3 linked regions of the Oreochromis niloticus genome follow. The protein of the gene in region 2 purifies or fractionates together with the protein of the main gene of each other region. This does not show direct contact. Links are inferred from orthologs where the notes say so. Each region holds a gene or a part of one and is shown on either strand. Other genes may lie near its edges. The genes, in order: git1, nck1b and pdgfrb.

Region 1 (3,828 bases), on a different chromosome or scaffold from region 2:
GCAAGAATACTTTGTCACAGATTTACGCTATACAATTAATCCTATCATCCTGCATCGGCGGTGATGCCCAAAGGCGTGTAGGGCAACCTTACGCGTCAGAAACAGTGGATGGCTCCCTGCTCGCTCTGCTTAGAATAAACGCAAAAGCCCCATGAAATCATTTAGAAATAAAGATAAGGGGGGAGAAAAGCCCTCCCTTGATTGTGTCAGTAGATTGGGTTACACCTTTATTCCTTATCCACCCGTTCCTCCTCCTCTCGCTTTCTCTTCCTCGCTCTCTTTCTCCCCTGCCTACTCTAACGCGTCTATCCTCCTCCTCTCCTCCCATCCGGTGGTGACTGAGAAAGATGCATTGACAAGCTGCAATGAAATGGGCGCACACTCAGCCAATCCGCTGTCAGGGCTCTGATAAAACACATGCCTTGTGAAAAAGAAAAAGAAATCGAAATGATGCGTTTAAAGTGAACCAGGCCCACATAGCATAGGAGTGTTATAAAGGAGGTGTGGGCGTACTGTGGAGAAGGCTGGGGAGCGCACGACATGACAGCAAAAGACAAAATTCATCAAAGTTGAAATGAAAGCCAAACTTCTTGATTCTTTTTGTTCCTCTACTCTTATTCTGCGTTATTCACAGCAGATTTTTCTTGTCGACACGACAGAAAAGTGAAACAGATAAATCCAATAAATCAATAGCACTTTAATGTTTCATTTGACTGCTAAAGCTGCTCAGCCATTGAATGTTCATTAAGAGGTCAGAGAAGGTGATCACGATATTTCTGCTTAAATGGAGCAGTGTGTGTCTTATATCTAAATGCTGATTAACATCAAGTAACTTTTCTGTCAGCATGAATTTTAGATTGTGATTAAGTCCCACTCTATCGAAACCACCTCACCTTTAAGAATATAAGGTTATCATCACGCCCTGTCCCTCCCTGTCCTAAGTTGTCGGGATGTTGGGTGTGTGTGTGTGTGCGCGCTCGTGTGTGTCAGAGTGAGTGAGCGCGAGCGCGGATACTGTCAGGTAAAGAGCTGCCGTCTCTCGGTGAGTTGCAGGCAATGCAGGGAACAGATTTACTGTAGCAATATTCCGAGATGAGATCCTTTATATAAACAGATTAACTATGTTCACATAACTTGGATCCAGTCTTGGAGTTCATCAGCGAACGTGGGCGAACAGACCGCTGGAATTAACGGGAAGCTCAGTCGTCGTCAGCTGGCCGGGGGAAAAGCCGATCATACCACCCGGCTTCCGGGGATTCAGGGGCCGCATCGGTTGACGGCAGACGTCGGTCTGTAGCTCGGGGGGGAAGACGGGCGAATATTCACATCATCGCCGACATCCACCTCTCCGTTTCATCCACTTTCGAGATGTCGAGAAAGCTACAAAGAACAGAAGTCTGCGCTGACTGCAGTGCGCCAGGTAAGGAACAGAAAAAAAGAGAAAACAGACCATGGGACTGGAACAATGCGTCGATAGGGGCGACGTGGTGGGAGAACAAGGCCGAAGTTGCTGTCATTGTCAGAGGGTCTGCAGAGCAGGAAAACGGCCAGGGCTCCAAAGCGTCGTTTAGGCCCAAAATAAACACTGGAAAAAATAGGCGTGTTGCCACAACGGGAGAATATCTCTAGCTAACAGCTGCTCAACGTTAATGTAAGCCATTGAATAACTTGATAGGTATATTTATTTGACCACGGCCATATGTGAGAACGAGCAGTTTATTTGGGGCAATTTAAGATCCGAGTGTCAGCTTTATGCTGCCTTCCCACTCGAAGAGACGTTTGTTTTGATTTTCGTGACCGGGACAGACTTCCGAACACGTTAGCTTAGCTTGGCTAGCGAGCTGGCGATTTTGAGTCACTATGCAGCTGTGTGATAGAAGAATTTATGGTAGAGTGAATGTCCTGAGATATAATAATACATTTATAGCGATGAACAGCTATCATATTGTTAGCACTTGCCCGTGGCTTTTGGAGTTTGTGCTTTTTATACTGCTAGCTTAGCTATGACGTTAGCTACTTCAGCTAACTTTTGCTAAACGCCAAGTTATTGCCAAGCTGATTCAGCTAAAGCGTCAGCGACCAGTCAATAGCTTTAACAACAATTTGGCTTAAAAAATACAGTAAAGTATCAAAAACGTAACTAGAGTTTCTGTTTGTTTAACTTGATGATTTTAGAATATCTACAGTAAAGTTAAGAAATAAAATAATGAGAATTAATAGGAGTAAATTCAGTTTACAGTCATCCTAAGTTGGAGCACAATTCAACATAAACCTGAAATGAGCCATACCTGTAGTTGTACCTCAAAATCATTTAAAAGCCACCTCAGTTACATTAACCTAGTACAACACAAAGTTAATTTCTAGCTTCACCTGTCTCAGCTTTCATCCATACTGTTCAGGGCGTAGTGATTTCCACTACAGTGACCATCCATAATTCTAGGTTAGTTTCCAACCCACTTCTCCTTTGGCCCCATCTGTGTTTGTTAAAATCTGATTAGAGGCAATGTTAATAAGACCCTTCGTATGTAGCCCCAAATGCACGTGCTGTTTCAGTTCGATCCCCTTGATCATTGGTGATCTTGTGTGCCTTGCTTGCATTCATTCATGTATACATGTGCAGCAGCTGCTCTTATGACAGCTGCGACCCCTGATAACTCTAAACTGTCTATATGCTGCAGTCCAGCCTTGCATTGCACACCTTGCTATTATTACTTACTAACATGCTTCAGCACCTATTTGCCTTTTCTGGTTCCCTTTGAGTTACTTTTTACATACTGATGAAACCCCAGTTGAACTCCTTTCGTTGATACTATATTAACCTGCAGAATAACAACATGCGCATTATCTGTGACATATTAGTTATGTTTTAAAGCTTTAGTTTATTTACTAGACAAAATAAGGCATTCACAATGGTAGATGGCTTGTTCGCGTACCTGTTACTAGCCGTGCATTTCTTCTACAACCATCATCTCTCTGCATGTAGCCTCCTTGCGACTTACACACACACACACACGCACGCAGTGCTTTCTGCAAAATGCTGACCTAGCCCCCTGGTGACAGGCCACCTCCCTACTACCCAGCTTTGTGTCATACTGGGGGGATAACTCAATGGCATTGCTACAAAGGACGACTGATACTCCTTTCGTAGCCAAGCTTCAGGAGCCTTTAATGTCACACCATGGCAATCTGCACAGTTTATGGCAACAGTGAATCACATCGTCACTATAGTAAACTCTTTATTGCGCACAGATGCATTTGTTTAGGAAACTGAAACTCTTGTGCAACTATTCACAGAAGAGAACAGCGGGGTTGAGTCGATATGTTGTGTTGGTGTCCGTGTCAGGCTTTGCTGTTGTTGCTGTGTTTGGTTAAATTTAGAAGTAAGATGGAGTAAATCCGGCAAGCTGAAACTTAGTACAATTAAACACTGTATTAAAATGCATTGTGATATACACCAAATGAGCCTGAAGCTAACCCGTTAATGGCCAAAGTATACAGATGTGTGCAACATGTTATCTCAGTGTTTGAGAGTGGAGTGTAACACAATTTTAAAAACTTGCACTCATTTGTAGCATATGTTTTTGTGCAGGGTTAGCTGACACGTATAAAAACAAATGTTATACTGGATTGATGAATTAGGCCAACTTTAGGCAACATTATGCAGCAACATGCTGCAGATTTCACCAATACAGCACTGCTAATAGTCTATCCACTTCTAATAGCTTAATGGCATAGCCTCATATTGATTTAGCAGACCAGGCAGATAGCCTAGCCTGTGGGAGTTTTTTTTAATATTTATTACACAGATTAAGGAATTAAATTGCTGCG
Region 2 (3,828 bases):
AGCAGGTGGCATTCAGGATCCGCTTCATTTCTTAGACTGCTAGAGCTAGGAAATTATTTTACTTCAGAAAGCCAGGAAGCTAATGTTTTGCGTATGCAGTAGAAATGAAAGCATATTGATGGAGCAAATTGATCTGAAACTGTACACAGCTGATGACAATCTATTGATTAATTAACTTTTTTGCACACAAATAGGTGATAAATGTCATGGTACAAGTATTATACCCTTTTTACAGCAACAATATAAGCAGTAAATCAAATCCGTCTGTGTAATGACAATCTACTACTATTGAATAAATACAAAATGACTAAAACAACAAGCTAGATCCATTTGCAGCGAAAATGTGGACAAAATCTTTCTCAAGCTAATAAGAAAGTGACTCAAAACACATTCCACCATGCCATATTTTATTTTAATTAGTCTAATTTATATTAAAAAGTGAAGAGAAGTATTAGGTGGGGTTTATAATCCACTATACATGCAGTATTATAGTCTTGTTTTGGGTGCAGATCACAGAATACATGTAGGGCAGGCCCATCTGTTTGAGCAGGAAACAGATTGCATCCTGCAGCGAGTTGCACAGCCTTCCAAATTACTCTGCAAGTCTCTTCACCACAGACACGTTTAATAGATGTATCATCATTTCACATGTGGAGCCCGAATGGGATTGGATGACGAGTTACTTTATGTAGATTCGTTTTTGTGTATTGCACGGTTGGTGATGACTGGGCACTTCTTTGAAATGCTTATTAATCCCGAGATAACTACAGTTGTCATATACTAAAAACACGTAGGCAGCACTTAACGTAATGCTTGCTGAAGGGCAAGCTTGCACTAAATAGTATCACCTGGTTATTTTTTTTAAAATGTATTTTATTTTAGCAAGTATACTACAGAACATCAATTTTTACTAGCCTAAATTATAGTTTGGGTCTTGTGCTAAAGTCCCTCTCACTACTTATCTTTCTTTTGGATACCAAAACATTAAACAATACGTGATGCAATAGTCAGACTCACATTCCATCTCTCTTTTCATACACAAGTCTATCAATGGTAGAGATTTGATCGATTCTTTACCCTCACAGAGAAGAAAAACATGACGAATGCTTAGGGGAAAGCAAAGCACCAGCAGCTGCAGTGGGATTAACGGACAGTGTCATTGTCCAATCACAGAGTCCAGATTCTCCCTCAGCCAATCGCGTGGCAGCAGGCGGGACCCAGAGAGCGTCTGAACTGCTTGTGTAGCTGCGGCTAGTTAGCTTAGCCGTGCTGCTGAGCGATGACATGCACTGATGCAGAAATGCTATTCCAACGGGGCACGGCGTCTCGTCAGCTAGGCTAGCTTCTTGGAGTGGGGAAAAAAAAGGGGAAAAAAAACCCTGGCTGTTTAGCTAGGATTCTGGATGCCGTTTCCGTGCATCTTCAGCTGCTGTGTGTAACCCTTTAACATATTTCCAAAAGGACATAAGAAGAGGTGGCCGTCAGGAATCAGGTAAGACGTGGTATGACTAGAGCAGGGTATGAATCTGAGCTGCCGCTGATGGTGAAGCTCTGTGATACAGACTGCTGCAATAACGGTTCTCCAGCGTTAAAGCTCACGCAAGCTAACAGCTAAACGTTAACCTAGACTGAAAAAGAAAAGGAGAGAGAGACAAAAACACCTAGTGTCCTTGCCAGCATGGTCAGCATACTGTTACCCAGCTGGCAGACGGTTAGTCTGGCTGTAACCACTAAAAGCATATGGGAGAATTTTCTTAGCCAGGTTAATGTTAGCCGTTTTAGCGTGACACGCTGTCAAGCTCAGGTTATAAGGTAAAAACTCCACCAAAACTGCTACACTTCTTTATCATCTTTATACTTCTTTTCGTTCAAGCGGGCACCACGTAAACACTTCTATTTGTAAGAATGACAATTAAATGAAGCCACAGTGATATTAAACCGTTTGATCCACTTTACAGTTTATACTTAAATGCAGCTTTATTTTTTTCTTATTATATCTTAGGATTAAGTTTTCAATTGCGTACTGAGTTGAACTCGCTTGGTCGTGGTCACGATGTGGTTCACTAGTATTGGGTTTTGCTTCAAGTAGCCATAATTAGTCATAGCCGGTCCATCACTTCAATGTTCACCCAGTGATACCCAGTTGGCTTGGTATCCCTTTATTTGGACCAGTAGTGCGCAACCTAAAGGTATTCTGTCCTAGAGATTTAAAATGCAGGAGAAATCTCCACCTTGGAGAACATACAACAATGAATTATTTTTTTCTGTTTTTATCTAAACTCAATTTGTGGATAAATATCTACCTGTATAATACGTGCAAAACGCATTTGAGCTTACATATACCTAGTTGGATCGCTTAGATCTTGTTTTGGGCAAGATTTTGGGTAATTGCACACTTTGTTTATCTCGTAACATTGTTTCTACCTTACACAACCCAAGCTAGACTAAATGTCATTCTTAGAAGCACAATGGGGCAGTTCGTCTGTATAACTCCTGGCGAGCCCTTGCGGCTTTTGTTTGTGTGGCCTTTTACAAAATTTGGTGCAACACTCAACAGATTATTCCAGCTTGAGGTTTTTGTATTGCAGGTATTTATTTGATGATTTGTGGTTAATTATATCTGAGCGATTTATGGGAGTAGCCTGCACGTCTCTGCAACCAAATACTAGCGACTGGTTAAGAATTACTCTGTAATTATTGTCACAAGTTAGTTTTCAAGGAGGTGAGAGGAGGCGGAGGAGGAAGAGAGAGGCATTTGCTCTGCTGTTGCTTTCTTCTCAGTTGGAGTCACAGAGAGGGCATCCACAGCTTGCAGGAAGAAATGGTGATGCCATTCTTATCAGCATTTCGTACTTGAAGGCTTGCATTTGATTTTCATCTTAACACATGGAAACTGCAATTAGGCAAACTATTTTAAAAATTTGCACCTGTCAGCTGCCATGTCATGAGCTTCTGTGCAGAAGTGAGGACTGTTCCTTCACTCAGATATACTCCTTGTGTACTCCTGTAATAGTCATACATCCCACACTATAATGGTGCTCTTGTTTGGATTTTATGACAGAATAATCTTATGTGTATGAAGGCGTTATCCTTTTTTTGTTTGGCTATGCCCTTTCCTCTTTTCCGAGTGTCCGGCTACCAGTGGCCTCCAGCAGCCAAATCTGTCCTCGCAGCCCAGGGTAAAATACCAACTGCGCTTTTCTCAATGGCTAAAATTTCCCTCAGAGCTCAGAAGCTAGTTTATAAAGTCACTTTTCTTTCTTTCTGTTTTTTTTTTTTTTTTTTTTTGGTTTTTTTTTTTTTTTTGGGCTTCTTATGAAGTTGAGAAATGGGGAATTTTTTTTTCTTTTTTCCGCAATTGCCTCTTTGCATGTTATCGCCCTAATCTCTGTTATTGCATACATTCTCTTCCATTTCCTCTTTCTTTTTTTTCTTTTTTTTTGTGCCCGACTGCTCATGCATGCAGATGTTTGAAGAGTAAATAACAGACGTTTTCTGTATACATTAACTGTGACAGAACATGACGGAGCAACAGCTTCTGCTTGGTGTGCCCTGGCAAAGGGCAAAAAAGGCGAGTAATGAGCAAAACACTGAAACCAAAAAAAGGGGGGAAAAAGGAGAAATTTCAGCTTAACTACTAAAGCAAAGTCGTAAGGAAGTGCCCAGTTATTGTTTCTTGTTTGGACTAAGTTTTCCAACTTTTGTAAAAGTGTACTGTCCCGGCTGTATTTGCTGTTTTGTTTTTTTTTTTCTATTTTTTTTTCTTTTTTGGGGAGTAAATGATTTGACTTCCTCGTGTCGAGTAGGAGAAGTGTGCAGTTTCAGTGT
Region 3 (3,600 bases), on a different chromosome or scaffold from region 2:
TGCATTGTATCAAGATGCTAAAATTACATGTGATAATAAAATGAAAAGACCCCCTAAGATTCTAGCATCCTGTTATTATCGGTGAATTTCTGCGGGTGTTTCGACAGAGTTCGTGTCTTATCTCATGCTGATAAAGGATTGTGTGTGCATGAGTGTTTACATACGTGACTGACGAGCACGTTATTGCTGTATTACTGCCTTTTTATCTTTTGGGTCTACAGTTTTATTGACATTACAAGCAATGAAACGCCTACAAATAGATTCAAGAGTTCAAATAAGTGGATTTAGAGCAGGTTTATTGCAAGTAGGTGCTAATTACATAGGCAGAATTAGAAAGATATAAAAGGAGGAACTGTCCCTGTGTGGTGTTCCTCCCCTCCTATCTAATAACTGGAGGGGGCTTTCTGGCACTCTAATTAGTGCGAGCAGGTCTTTTAGATTTGCCCTCTCAATTAGAGGAGAACATGTTAGTTTCCAATTTAGCTCCTGTTCCCCTCCGCCCCCCGTCTGCCCCGACCTGCTTGTTAGATAGAACAGGTCTTTATTCAGCTGCAGTGCTGCGTTCTGAATCTCAGATCATCCTCTCATATCCTGGGAAAGGATTGAAATAGGAAGAAGGCTAGTATTGAGAGCAGACATATTTACATGGTTTTGCTTGTGTTTATAAAAGAGAGGATAAAAGGCCAGGGAAAAAAAGGAGAAAGAAGGGGGTGAGGATGGTGGGAGGTGTTGAGTTATTTCATGCAGGGGAAAAAGAAAACACTTGAAAAAAAATATGATATAAAAAGAGATGTAAAAAACAAAGCTAGTTCACTAAAGTCCCCTTTAACCACTTTTATACCTGTTTTTAAGAGTGTGATTATATAAGGGAAGTTATTTTTCCTGAGAAACTGAGACTTCCATGTTTGTTTCCAAAGCAGGGTGCAATCAGCGCTGCCAAAACCTTTTTTTTTTTCTCCTGGCTGGACCACTCACTCACTCTCTCACTCTTTCTCCTCCTTTTTATTGTGTTTGTTGTTTTATGGAGGGGGTTAGATGCGGTCCAGATTGCCGTTGCCAATAGAGACTGTCTCAGTTCACCTCCACTCCATTCATAAACAAATCGCTCCGGCTCAGACCTCTGAGCCTCTACCTTAGAACAACAAGCAGAACTGGATTTGTATTTTGAAGTTTCGTCACTCTGTTAGAAACTTCTTGCTTTCTGCTTCAGCTCTGTTTCACTGCTCCCTCCCTCCTCTCCCTCGTCCTGCTCTCTCTCAGCTTCAGCAGGGGTGGACACTGACGCTCTGCTTAGTGTGGATCTGTCAGGGGTGGAGTGTGCACAGTTTGTGTGTGCGTGTGTGCATGTTTCTGTGGGGAACTTTTTTTTTTCTTAGAACACTCTTTCTGAGTGTGAGAGTGGAGAGAGAGAGAGAGAGACACCCATGGTGATGTGATTTGACTAAACAAACAGCCGGGCTCACTGCAGTACCTCCTCCAACGGACTCCTGGGACAGCAGAGATTAACCTCAGAGTGAACATCAGAGGGATCTATACATTTGAAGCAGCAGCCCCTGTAGAGACATCTCACTGGAAGTCTCTCCAATTTCCTTCTGCTGGCCGACAACCTTCTTGGTCAAAGAGGAAAGATTCTTCTGTGCTTCTGGGGTTCGTCTGAAGGTAAGAAGCATACTTCTCTGTCACCATCAAGTATTTTAGTATAAGTTACAGCTGCTCCACATCTGCTGGCAGAAGTAAAAAAGGGCCGTGCAAAGTGGGGAACATTCACTTATCCTGTATGGGAAGCCCACTGTGACAGATTGAGTTTCACAGCCATCTGACACAGACGCACCTCATCCTGAACACTGGACCCAAGTTTCGTATAGCTTTTTTAAACAAAAAATCTGATTTGATTTGACAAGAGAACAACCTGTAGGTCTTCGTGATGTTGTTGCTGTCTCTTGCTGGTGTTCGTTACCCACATACTTGTGTGTGTGTGTACACAACAGCCATTGCAACGCTGCGTGAAAGAGCGTAAGCAACCTGTTCAAACATCAACATAGTGATGGCTTGCATCTCTGTACACAGCAACTGTTTGACACTTTCACATTGGACAACTTTAACATTGTTTATTTTCCCACTAACAGAATGCATTTGACAAGGTGTCCCGGGGTCTAGTGTACACACAAACACAGTAGGGTTTATAGTACAAGCTGTTTGTACGCTCTCCACTTTGTGCTTCCCTGCTAAAGGGCTTGTTTGTACAGCCCTCTTCAGTCACCCAGAGTGGCGGTCCTCACCACCAAACCATCGGTCACTTTCCTCCCTTTTCAATCTTCTCTGCATTGATTCATGAAGAAGCTCATTGAAGAGCCATGGCTGTGAACTGATATCAGACCCAGCGTCTATCACTGTCAACAGCATCCTCTTTGGAGGAAACATACCACCTTAAATTTATAGTTTTATGACTCAGTCTCCCTTTTATAATGTAAATATCTCGTAAAATCAATCTGGTCTCATCTCAAGAAGTTGAGAGCCGACATAAACAATCAGTTGAATCATTGCTTCCTGTTCATCAGAAGATTTTAGTAGCTGGAGTGAGTTATATTATAGCACTGTGAGCCATTTCATGGCTGTGACACATGTGGCATACATGTCTTTTCCAACACGTGTTTTGCACCTGAAAGCCTTCCCGCCTGACTGTTGTGTATGGTTGCTTTGGTATTTAAGTTGTTGGGTTGGGTAGCTGCACATCCATCTTCTGCATACAGGGGACCTTTTTGACATGAAACCATTTGAATTAGCATCTGCTGTAATCAAAACGTTGTTGGCATGTGTTTTGTGGATGCTCTTCTCCTCCTCTGCAGACAGGAGTGTCCTTTTGAAGTTTTTGATCTTCTCTGGCTCTGTGGATGTTTCACTCCGGGCACTGTCTGGCATTGTTTTTGTAGATGAACCGCTGGAAGACTGCATGCATGTCATACTTTTACCATCAATGGTGCTAGACTGCATTGCATTCATTTCATAGTTTTAAATTCAGTTTCTACTTTCACAGCACCAACTTATAAAACACTAAATCTGCTGTGACAAATCTTTATTGTAAGATTTGCAAAACTTAGTTTAATTTCGACTCTGACAAGTGGGGATTTTCCTGTCTTGCGTCAGGCTGCTGGTATGTACTCCAGCGGAGTGCTCCTCTCCGGCCCCGATGCAGTGCAGCCCAGCCGGCTCCATTCCCCCTGGCCCAGACCTAATCCGTCGACATCAGCTGTTTCCTGGCTCTCTAGGCTTTCTGCATGCCAGCAGCTTTGAGCAAATGTGCTTCACATTATGACCATGCAGAAAACATGCCAGGAGTCTGATTTAACTCACATGTGCAGATATGTAACATTTTGAGTTCAACAACAACTTTTGAAAAATACTGATCCCATTCTGTCCTCGTTTCATTTATCCTCTGTGATTTCAACTCAAAGTTGAGCAACCCTCATCTGAAAAAACTTGTTTATAGAGGAAACACTGAGTTAAAATACTTACACACTCTCACATCATGTTATCGTGACACGGATTGGTTCATTTTTCAGATTCACAGAACAAACTCTGACTCATCCCCTGGTGGACACT

Evidence for each region.
Region 1: the proteins of nck1b (region 2) and git1 purify together in Homo sapiens (affinity purification with mass spectrometry; 4 studies listed by BioGRID and IntAct, with this or other methods). This does not show direct contact. The link is inferred for Oreochromis niloticus from reciprocal best matches to the Homo sapiens genes NCK1 and GIT1.
Region 3: the proteins of nck1b (region 2) and pdgfrb purify together in Homo sapiens (affinity purification with western blotting; 3 studies listed by BioGRID and IntAct, with this or other methods). This does not show direct contact. The link is inferred for Oreochromis niloticus from reciprocal best matches to the Homo sapiens genes NCK1 and PDGFRB.

Annotation. Positions count from the first base shown.
Region 1 is NC_031979.2:10,581,331-10,585,158, reverse strand, and holds the start of git1 (ARF GTPase-activating protein GIT1), read left to right. Parts: upstream 1-951; 5' UTR 952-1,042; exon of another isoform or gene 1,043-1,144; 5' UTR 1,145-1,368; coding exon 1,369-1,420; intron 1,421-1,472; exon of another isoform or gene 1,473-1,651; intron 1,652-2,370; coding exon of another isoform or gene 2,371-2,386; exon of another isoform or gene 2,387-2,509; intron 2,510-3,828. Other genes in the region: ankrd13b (ankyrin repeat domain-containing protein 13B), read right to left, coding at 2,371-2,386. UniProt on the Homo sapiens protein: GTPase-activating protein for ADP ribosylation factor family members, including ARF1.
Region 2 is NC_031974.2:17,862,766-17,866,593, reverse strand, and holds the start of nck1b (cytoplasmic protein NCK1), read left to right. Parts: upstream 1-1,219; 5' UTR 1,220-1,492; intron 1,493-3,828. UniProt on the Homo sapiens protein: Adapter protein which associates with tyrosine-phosphorylated growth factor receptors, such as KDR and PDGFRB, or their cellular substrates. Maintains low levels of EIF2S1 phosphorylation by promoting its dephosphorylation by PP1.
Region 3 is NC_031966.2:25,212,979-25,216,578, forward strand, and holds the start of pdgfrb (platelet-derived growth factor receptor beta), read left to right. Parts: upstream 1-1,081; 5' UTR 1,082-1,659; intron 1,660-3,600. UniProt on the Homo sapiens protein: Tyrosine-protein kinase that acts as a cell-surface receptor for homodimeric PDGFB and PDGFD and for heterodimers formed by PDGFA and PDGFB, and plays an essential role in the regulation of embryonic development, cell proliferation, survival, differentiation, chemotaxis and migration.